3 linked regions of the Neurospora crassa OR74A genome follow. The protein of the gene in region 2 binds, or shares a complex with, the protein of the main gene of each other region. Links are inferred from orthologs where the notes say so. Each region holds a gene or a part of one and is shown on either strand. Other genes may lie near its edges.

Evidence for each region.
Region 1: the proteins of NCU16028 (region 2) and cya-4 are in contact, whole or in part, in a cryo-EM structure (PDB 8Q1B), measured with the Schizosaccharomyces pombe proteins. The link is inferred for Neurospora crassa OR74A from reciprocal best matches to the Schizosaccharomyces pombe genes cox2 and cox5. Residues at the interface, in YP_011104938.1 of Schizosaccharomyces pombe: Asp10, Ala11, Pro12, Ser13, Ser14, Trp15, Gln20, Asp21, Gly22, Glu146, Glu147, Leu149, Glu150, Glu151, Gly152, Ser153, Leu154, Glu158, Arg209, Glu210, Gly211, Leu212, Tyr214; in NP_588158.2 of Schizosaccharomyces pombe: Pro136, Arg137, Thr138, Trp143, Lys146, Ser147, Tyr150, Asn154, Lys155, Ile156, Asn157, Pro158, Ile159, Ser160, Gly161, Glu162, Arg170, Gly171, Gln172, Ile173, Ser174, Phe178.
Region 3: the proteins of NCU16028 (region 2) and NCU06741 are in contact, whole or in part, in a cryo-EM structure (PDB 8C8Q), measured with the Schizosaccharomyces pombe proteins. The link is inferred for Neurospora crassa OR74A from reciprocal best matches to the Schizosaccharomyces pombe genes cox2 and cox12. Residues at the interface, in YP_011104938.1 of Schizosaccharomyces pombe: Asp104, Val106, Pro109, Ser110, Met111, Thr112, Lys114, Ile116, Arg118, Glu125, Asn127, Asp128, Phe129, Val130, Glu133, Thr169, Arg172, Ile174, Thr176, Gly198, Arg199, Leu200, Asn201, Gln202, Leu237, Phe240, Leu244, Glu245; in NP_588322.2 of Schizosaccharomyces pombe: Gln12, Phe13, Thr14, Phe15, Gly16, Thr17, Val18, Gly19, Phe20, Thr27, Asn28, Gln29, Thr30, Cys33, Trp58, Gln62, Ser63, Leu64, Cys65, Pro66, Met67, Glu68, Trp69.

What each region holds. Positions count from the first base shown.
Region 1 is NC_026502.1:1,656,335-1,659,717, reverse strand, and holds cya-4 (cytochrome c oxidase subunit IV), read left to right. Parts: upstream 1-1,420; 5' UTR 1,421-1,561; coding exon 1,562-1,796; intron 1,797-2,194; coding exon 2,195-2,388; intron 2,389-2,456; coding exon 2,457-2,543; 3' UTR 2,544-2,732; downstream 2,733-3,383. Other genes in the region: NCU16537 (hypothetical protein), read left to right, coding at 313-373, 435-498, 562-622. UniProt on the Schizosaccharomyces pombe protein: Component of the cytochrome c oxidase, the last enzyme in the mitochondrial electron transport chain which drives oxidative phosphorylation.
Region 2 is NC_026614.1:58,075-60,792, forward strand, and holds NCU16028 (cytochrome c oxidase subunit 2), read left to right. Parts: upstream 1-1,454; coding exon 1,455-2,207; downstream 2,208-2,718. Other genes in the region: NCU16027 (ATPase subunit 9), read left to right, coding at 534-758.
Region 3 is NC_026502.1:2,087,628-2,091,112, reverse strand, and holds NCU06741 (cytochrome c oxidase subunit VIb), read left to right. Parts: upstream 1-1,350; 5' UTR 1,351-1,511; coding exon 1,512-1,557; intron 1,558-2,065; coding exon 2,066-2,178; intron 2,179-2,352; coding exon 2,353-2,416; intron 2,417-2,496; coding exon 2,497-2,528; 3' UTR 2,529-2,855; downstream 2,856-3,485. Other genes in the region: NCU06740 (hypothetical protein), read right to left, coding at 185-327, 411-476, 645-660, 762-827; NCU06742 (hypothetical protein), read right to left, coding at 3,015-3,485. UniProt on the Schizosaccharomyces pombe protein: Component of the cytochrome c oxidase, the last enzyme in the mitochondrial electron transport chain which drives oxidative phosphorylation.

The sequences.
Region 1 (3,383 bases), on a different chromosome or scaffold from region 2:
TAATGATTTCCAATTGCCTCCGCGTCATTGCTTGCATGCACTGGACCGGGGTTAAACAGACAGTGCACATGGCATCCGGGCGGGCGGCGGAATGGAGCTGTGCAGATTATGCTACACTACAGTACAGTACTGCCCTGTACAGCACCGTTGTTGCCGTTTACAGGGACGGACCCAACGAAACGCTGAAGTGTTCTCGAACTGAGTGAAGGTCCAGATCGAATATACTATCGAAGCTGATATTCAATCCGGTCAACTGAGTGGCGATCATCAGCCAAGACATAAAAAAATCAACAACAGCAACAAAAAGTCAAGATGCTCAACGGCAAAAAGATCATCACCATTGGTTTGGTAGTAACCTTTGGCATCGTGAATGGTCCGGGCTCTTTGGTTGCATGTGCTTGTGATTGGAAGAATAAAGTCTGACGTCTCTGCAGGATACTACACATTTGCCCCCAGTCTCCGGGCGGAGAAGGAGAAGCGTGAAGGCCTAAACCTTGGGTGAGAAGATGAGCTTGAAACAATCAAGTGCGGTTAAGACTGGATAGACTAACATGACACCAGTCCCCCGGCCAAGCCCTCTCCATATGAGATTAGGAAGCAAGAGTGGGAGAAAAGAGAATGAGATGTAGGATGCTAGCATGGAGTAGAGTAACAACTAGGTATCGTGATCATACCATCGACCAAGGCATGAGTTATATATATATATTTGGAGGGATATGTCGGTGCATAGCTGTCCCTCTTTTTGTTTTCTCGAAACTCATGACAGCAATTCGTTTGAAACGAAGCATCCAAGGCTTCATTTTCGTTCTGCCGCGTTTACTGTACTCATTGCGGATAACATGACATGAAATATCTCTCTGCAAGGCTTTAATCTGTCTAAAGACCCTGTCGTGTCTCCCACTCCGGACAAGCAAACAATAAACTTTGTGAGACAGTGACGTCTGGCATGTGAGTTCCGTTTTTCAGCTGCCAGAGAATCGAATCGTCGTCATCCAAAAGTCAACAATGAACAATGGACACTCCAGTCAGCCCAAGGACAAAACGTCCATGGTGTGGAAACTGAAGGCGGTCCGTGCCAGCTGTCAAGAGTGTGGAATTGCCAGGTGAGGGGCTCCGTTTCTGAGCGCCAGACACGCAAAAGCTGCCCGTTCACCACTTGCCAGGCGGCCCTGGTCAGCCTGCCGTGAGTTGGCTCCCGGGAAGATACGGGGCCCCAAGCTAGGTAAACTGTGACAGCGAGTCTCATAGCGCTCTGGTTTGGGGGTGTTTTCACTGGCGGGCACTGCGTTCGGGGTGAGCAAAGTGGGCATCAGGCCATCCCAGGCATTCCTCGAGTTCCGAGCTGAGGCCGCATCCCCGTTTCGCCTACCTGCGAATCCCGTTCGCCCAAAAAAAAGCTCGTCCTTTGCATGACTTCACTCCTCGCACAAAATCACCGTCGACGATCGAGCTCCAGGCCTCCGACCACGCACGCGGGCGACTCAATTGGATCCATCTCCACCCCCGACTTCGAATCCTCCTCAACTTCCTAATCTCTGTCAGCCGACAATCCGCCGCCACCATGCTTCGCACTCCTACCGTCTCGGCCCTCGTGCGCAACGTCGCCGTTCGCGCCGCCAAGCCCACCATGGCCGTCCGCGCCGCTTCCACCATGCCCATCTCCAACCCCACGCTTGCCAACATTGAGAAGAGATGGGAGCAGATGCCCATGCAGGAGCAGGCCGAGCTCTGGATGGCTCTCCGCGACCGCATGAAGGGCAACTGGGCCGACCTTACCCTCCAGGAGAAGAAGGCTGGTAAGTGAGAAGTGGAAGGTTGAAGGTTGGCGAAATGCCGGGTGGAGCTCGACCGTCCAAGCTCCGAGCTAGTTGCATCACCAACGCCCGCCTTGAAGCTCCCCCCCGTCACCCTCACTCTGCGACAACCCCGAGCTTCAAACAAGCTTCACGAGCTCCCGGACAGCTTTGGGATCGTTGGGCGGAAATGGATCTTGTCGGCCTAGAGGTTATCGGTTGATTGATGGGTTGTTGGGGGACGCTGGGAGAAGGCTGAGGGAGTAATGGTGCGCTACATTGGAGGAGAAGAGGAGGGAAGCTCCGACGACAAACCGCACCATGACAGCCATCAAGGTCGTCTCAAGAGACACGCAGGCCCAGACCACAGAAAGACTGACATGTACTCTCTCTCAACGCAGCCTACTACATCGCCTTCGGTCCCCACGGCCCCCGCGCTCTCCCCCCTCCCGGCGAGCAGAAGAAGGTCTTGGCCTACACTGTCGCCGGTGTCTTCCTCTCTTTCGTCATCTTCGCTACCATGCGCGCCTTCGCCAAGCCCCCTCCTGCCACCATGACCAAGGAGTGGCAAGAGGCTACCAACGAGTTCCTCAAGGTGCGTCGGCTCATATCGGCTCTTTGTTGGCAACCAGATCAACTAACACATATATCACCAACAAACAGGCCCAGAAGTCCGACCCCCTCACTGGTCTCACCTCCGAAGGCTACAACGGCAAGGGCCACGTTCAGTCTCCCTCTGCCAGCGCATAAGTTTCGCATACTTTTATTGGTGCTCAGGGGTAGACTCATCCTTCGTTCTCTCGGATATCGGCCATGTCAAACGAGTCTGTGAGGATCGGGGGAAAGGACAGTGGTGGCATTGGAATGCTTTGGGGCGCTTAACACTTGGGTTGGTGTGTAAATACTGTACAGCTGACAATGCATTATCATTTCCTTTAGCCGGCGCGTTCGTTTTGTTGTCCGGTGTAAATGGGGGTCATGGGGGTTTAGGGAGATATGGAACTTGGTAGAGAAGAGTGAGCGGATGGGGATAGCTAGATTCGGGCAGTGAGGCCAAGCTCCTGGATATCAAGATGAAACGAGGTATTTGAGGATTTTGAGGGAGTAGCATCGTCACACGCGGAAAGAAGCTTCCGAGCTTTTAAGGCGCCTAGCACCTTTTCAGGATGACGTCTCTTGATCCCTGCTAGGTGTTTCGCTGCTAGTAAGAAATGACACTGTTTGTTTGTTTGTTTGTTTGTTTACTTGACATGGCCGAAAAAGGGGTAAGCTACCCTGCTCCCAGCACCCAGCCGTATCTCACTCGGTAGCCCGTACTTCGGATAAGAGTTACGGGCGATGATTTCACATCCGGGCCTTCGGGACGAGAACGCCACTCATAGTCCTGCCTCATCCAGATGCTCTTTCTTCGTCCTGATGTTTTTGCCTGCTGCGGCTGTCCCCTCGTGACCAACCGTCATCCATGAAGTTGCTGGATTGATTTCAGACTGCGTGCGGGGCTCCATCCCTCGGCGGGCTCTTCCTCCTGGCAGACATCCCATTCAATTCGTCTTTCCAGTGCTTCACCAGTTCACCTTGCTCCTCTACCTG
Region 2 (2,718 bases):
TACATTATGCTATGTAATGATGTAATGTAATGTAATGTAATGTTATATCCACTATGTACTGCAAATGTAATCATCTGATAGATAATATAAAATGTAACTTAATGTAACTTAACTTAATGTAATGTAATGTAACTTAATGTAACTTAATGTTATGTAACTGTAATGTAATATTTTGTAATGTAACTGTAATGTAACTTAATATAATGTAACTGTAATGTAATATAATGTACAGTAATGTAACTGTAATGTAATGTTACATTACATGTAATGTAATGTAATGTATTGTAATGTAATCTTTATATGTAATGTACTAAAGATTACGATAGCTAGCCAGTTATATACTGGCTAGCTATCGTATGATTATTGTAGCCATTAGGGATAGCCTAATGGCTACTTGATTATCATTAGATATACTGCAACAGCAGTAAATACACTGTTGTCGGGAGCCTCAGTGGTATTTGCTGCTTTGCGGTGGTGGAATTGAAGAGGTTACTAGATTCTAGTTAATTTTTGATTCCACCATTGTATATATAATGATACAAGTAGCTAAAATAATAGGAACAGGGCTAGCTACCACAGGTTTAATCGGAGCTGGTATAGGTATTGGAGTTGTATTTGGCTCATTAATAATAGGGGTTTCAAGAAACCCTTCGTTAAAAAGTCAATTATTTGCATATGCAATTTTAGGTTTTGCTTTCTCGGAAGCGACAGGATTATTTGCTTTGATGATGGCTTTTTTACTTCTTTATGTTGCATAGTAATGATAGAGATTAGGAATAAAATGATGTATGGCTGCTTAAATAAAAAATATGGCTGCTCTTCCTGCTTAGCTAGCTAGCTAGCTTCGAGGGACCCCACGAATACGGCCCACACACGAAGGTGTGTGGGGTATTCGTGGGGGGCCCCCTCCTACTTCCTGCCTACGAAGTCTAGGCAGGCAGGAAGCAGCCTTAATAATTTAGCTAGCCATAATATCGCGACCACCCTCCTCCACTCAACCCCCCCCTTGGCGGCCCCCATCTTTCCCCCGCCCTGCAATACTGCAGGGGGGCATAATTAAATGTGATGGGGACCTTGAGCAAAGGAGGGGGTACGCGAGTGGAGGAGGGTGGTACTTTTTTGGGAGGGAAGCTGAGCGAAGCTGAGCGAAGCTGAGCGAAGTGAGCGAAGTGTGCGAAGCTGAGCGAAGGTAATTCATTTTTTTGGGCCCCCGCCCCGAAGGGGGCGGGGTCCCCCGAAAAAACAAAGGACGCTAGCGTAGCCTAACCTTATGAGCAGCAGGCTATAAAAACCCATTAGGCACAGGGTATACTTCGTTAGTGGATAAGAATTAGCCTAGCCTTAATATACAATACAGTTTAATGTTATATTTAAATTCTATATTTTATGAAAAGATATAATATATTTATTATTATGGTTTAATATTCAATATAGAATATTCTATTTCTTTTTTTATGGGATTATTATTTAATAATTTAATTATGAATTTTGATGCTCCAAGCCCATGAGGTATCTATTTTCAAGATAGTGCTACTCCTCAGATGGAAGGTTTAGTTGAATTACATGACAATATTATGTACTATCTGGTGGTAATACTATTTGGTGTAGGATGAATCTTATTATCTATAATAAGAAATTATATCAGTACAAAATCACCAATTTCACATAAATATTTAAATCACGGTACATTAATCGAATTAATATGAACTATTACTCCAGCAGTAATATTAATATTAATTGCTTTCCCTTCATTTAAGTTGCTATATTTAATGGATGAAGTTAGTGATCCTTCAATGTCAGTTTTAGCAGAGGGGCACCAATGATATTGAAGTTACCAATATCCTGATTTCTTAGATTCAAATGATGAATTTATAGAATTTGATTCATATATAGTACCGGAATCCGATTTGGAAGAAGGAGCACTAAGAATGTTAGAGGTGGATAATAGAGTTATCCTTCCTGAACTAACACACGTTAGATTTATCATCACTGCAGGTGATGTGATACATAGCTTCGCTGTTCCATCTTTAGGTGTTAAATGTGATGCTTATCCTGGGAGATTAAATCAAGTATCTGTTTTTATTAACAGAGAAGGAGTATTCTATGGTCAATGCTCTGAAATCTGTGGTATATTACACAGTTCTATGCCTATAGTTATAGAGTCAGTATCTCTAGAAAAATTCCTTACTTGATTAGAAGAACAGTAAGACGATAAAATAGTTTTTGGCTAAATAAAGGAACTCGGGGGACCCCACGAATACGGCCCACACACGAAGGTGTGTGGGGTATTCGTGGGGCCCTATGTATTTGAGTATGAAGCCATCTAGTGGTTATCTCTCCCCCCCTCCCCGCAGGTTTGCGGGGGGGGAGCGAGGGGGTAGCGATAAAAAGTTTCTAATATGAAGAGGATGACTTATGGAATTAACTCCACTCCCCCCCCCCTTAAGGGGGGGAGTGGAGTGGAACGGAATTAACTCCACTCGCTCCCCCCCCCGCAGGTTTGCGGGGGGGAGCGAGTGGAGTGGAACATCCGGGAGGTGGTGGGTTATATTATAAACAATATTCGGGGGACCCCGCCCCCTTCGGGGGCGGGGGGCCCATTAACTGGAAAGCACCCCCCCCTTAAGGGGGGTGCTTTTAATTATTATTATTTTTATAGGTTAATTAGGTTTAAAAGGCTACCCGCCCCCCCCCCTGCAGTACTGCAGGGCGGGGAAG
Region 3 (3,485 bases), on a different chromosome or scaffold from region 2:
GAAATGACAGCCATCATCACCCGTCTGACCGCATTCAACTCTTTTGTAGGATTAACCGTGTTGATTCCTGGTCATCATGTACAATGCTACGCAAAAAAAAAAAGGAGGCAACCTTTCTCGAGAACACTTTCCTCGTTCCCTTATCGAACATACGCCCCATGCACAAAAATCCCTGGTTGTTCGTTTAGTGCTTCTCTTCGTGAGCAGCGTGGAGAGCGTGCGAATCGGCAGCGCGGTTCTGGCGCTTGAGACGGATGGTCTTGTCAACGACAAGGTGGCGAGTGATGGAGTAGATGGCAGCGCTGACGGCGAAACCGACGACAACACCTACTCAGTCAAACAATTTCCCCCCTTATCAGCACTCGATCCAGGATGGCATCCATATGTGTAATAGCTTGGTGCAAGCTTACCGAGAGGCCACAACTCAGCGGGAATGGTCTTGATGCGCATGCGGAGGCGCTGGGAGACGGTGTGGGCTGTACCGTAAATGACGTTGTCAGTCGCGGATATCCCCCCCTCGCGCAATTATTTTGAAACCCTCCATCTCCATTGCCAACTGGGGTAGATGCTCCTGAAGCTCCGGCAAATTGTGTAATAGCTTTTGTTGTCGTAGAATGCAACGGTTGGGTTGTTCGTTCACGTACCGGCCTGCTCCTCCTTCTATTGCAAGACAAAAAATCCCATGGTTAGTAACTCTGACGCAATGGCACCTCCCAAAGCTTCGGAAAAGTCGCGGACTCGAGACCGGGTATAGCTCTTACGGGAATGGGGCGCATCATGCGGGGGGTCTGGCGGAAAGCCTGGCGGGCGACACGGGAGGCGAACATCTTGCCGACGTGGAATTGAGTGGAGATTTGTCTTGAGGGATGGTGTTGCGCTACCGCGGTGGACGAAGAGAGCAGCTTTTGCGATCGAGGTTGGCAATTGAACTTTTGGCTTCTTCGCCTCAAATCAAGATGCGGGAGTTCGAGCGTTGAGCTTCGTTCGGCTGCACGGACACTAGCCGGGTGGGTTCCACCTGCTGTTAGGTGAGGTCAGCTCACCGCAGCTGGCGTCCAGCTGTCCCCGGATTCGGTCGAGGCGGGAATCATTGCCCGTCGGAGTGCCGTCACCATTCGGGGATTGCCAAGACGCTGCATGAGTGCTGAGGTGCCGCGAAAGTTGGTGCCTCAGGCTTCCGGATCGAGGCAGTCTCTACTACTACAGCGGACGAAGCGCTGGCTTCCAGAAGGTGCATTGCCTGGCACTGCCTGGACGGGGAAGGAGGACAGCGCACTGACTGCAATTCGTCAGAGCTACCAAAAGCTAGCACCCGTGCTGTGGAATCGATCCACTCGGCTCACCTCGCCTCATCATCGACGCAAAGGTCAGAATCTCACAGCAGCTCTGCTCTTCCACGTCCCCGTCAACACCCGCACCTGGTCCAATCCCACAAGCCATTGAGCTTCCGCCTCGACACCAACTCCCAGACACCACCACCCCCGCGACCACCACCGCAAACCACCGCCAACATGTCCGACGACGAGCGCGTTACCAAGCCCTTCAAGTTCGTCACTGGTACGTACAGGTTTAGTCCCTGAGAATTGGACCTCTGCTCCCCCAAGCAAAGATCTAAATTCCCTCGGCCAAAAATCATGCCGTGACCTCATTGCGCTGGGCCGGAATTTCATTGCTAACAAACGCACGTCGCAGCCGGTATGCAACCACCCTTACTCTTGCTTTTCAAACACATTTAGCTCCTCCGCCGAATTTGCCGAAGATCGGCAGCAAGCCTTCAAATCCTTCACTCGCGATGTCGCCGGAATCCCCGATATACCCCGGTTGAAGATAGAGCTCAAGCTCTGTTGGCACGGGGGAAGAAGAGGAGTGCATTGTGGAGACCCCGAACTTCGAACTTTGCGCGGCACGGGGCAAACACCCCTTCTCCATGCCAGCAGCTGCTAGCTTTGCGGATGCGGATCACGAGCGAGCGAGCAGAGCCATCAAAACCAGCACCAAAGAGAAATCGCCAGAAAAAGAAAAACCTGTGTTCTGACGTATTGCGTGTTTTTTCAAAAACTATTAGGTGTCGACGCCCGTTTCCCCAACGTCAACCAGACCAAGCACTGCTGGCAAAACTACGTTGATTACCACAAGTGCATTCTCGCCAAGGGCGAGGACTTCGCTCCCTGCCGCCAGGTTAGCCGCACCACCACCACTAATTTCACCACTGCCGTCAGCTGTTGCTTTGCCGGATGAGAAAGAGAAAGGGGAAACGTGGGGACCGGATGGGATACAAAGCCAGACTGAGGACGACAAAGCTACGAAACGAAAAGGGACCCGAATGCTGACTGACACCTCGCTGTTTATTAGTTCTGGCTCGCCTACCGCTCTCTCTGCCCCAGCGGCTGGTACCAGAGATGGGACGAGCAGCGTGGTACGTAACGGGGAAACAATCCTTTTTTCACTGCTAGGAAAGGGCCGATAAAGGGCATGTTCACTGACAACTTCTTACAGAGGCTGGCAACTTCCCCGTCAAGCTGGAGTAAATACCCCTGAAATGCTTGTATGACGCGACACAGATTGGTGGGTGGATGATGACAAAAGTCAACCACCTATCAGGACTCACTTCACCCTACATCAAACCTAGTTGTATTAGAAAGCTCTTGGTAGTATTGGCGAATGCACATAGAGAGTATGTTGGGGTTGGCGCAACGAAGATTTCCCGTTGCATCTTGCTGAAGTGATGTTATCGAAATGAAAAAAATGAATCAGATCAGCGCTCCTTCATTGAACTGAATTCAGTATTTCACTAGGCTTTGTATGATGTGGCCTAGATGTATAGTATGTGGTATCATGAAAACCCCCTTTGTCCCTATTCGCTACTCATGAGACAATTTAAACAAAACCAAACTCCCGATAACGCCATCTATGAGTTGTCTTCCCGAGGCAGTCAAGAGAGTCAGGTTCACCCGTTACATCCCAACTTACACCACCGAGATCTCCATGAGTCTATGACATCTTCCATCGAACTCTCACTCATCATCAGAGCTCATAAATTCATCATCGTCATCAAAGCCAGCGAAGGTCTTGATCTGCGCCTTCGGTTGCACCGTCTCCTTCTCTTTGCCTTTTAACTTTTCCTGGTCCACCACCATCTTCGGTTCCGGCTCCGGTTCCGATGGTGGTGTAGCCGCACCATCCCGCTCACTCTCCTTTTCATCCTCACTCATCGCTTCACCCCCGGAAGACGACCCACTCCCACTCCCCGAACCGCCCTCCCGAGGATTCGCTGCATTCGCCGCAGCCGCCGTAGCCGCCAACATCGACAGATTATCCGTGTACGCGCCCTTCTTCAGAGCCGTCATAACCGCCTCCCTCGTCCTCTCATCCAGCTCCTCCTTATCCTCCACCCACTTGCCATCCAACATGAACCCCCCACCTCCTGCCTTCCCATGCCTGATCTCCTCCTGCCGCTTCTCCGTCTGCTCCACAATTTGCTGCCA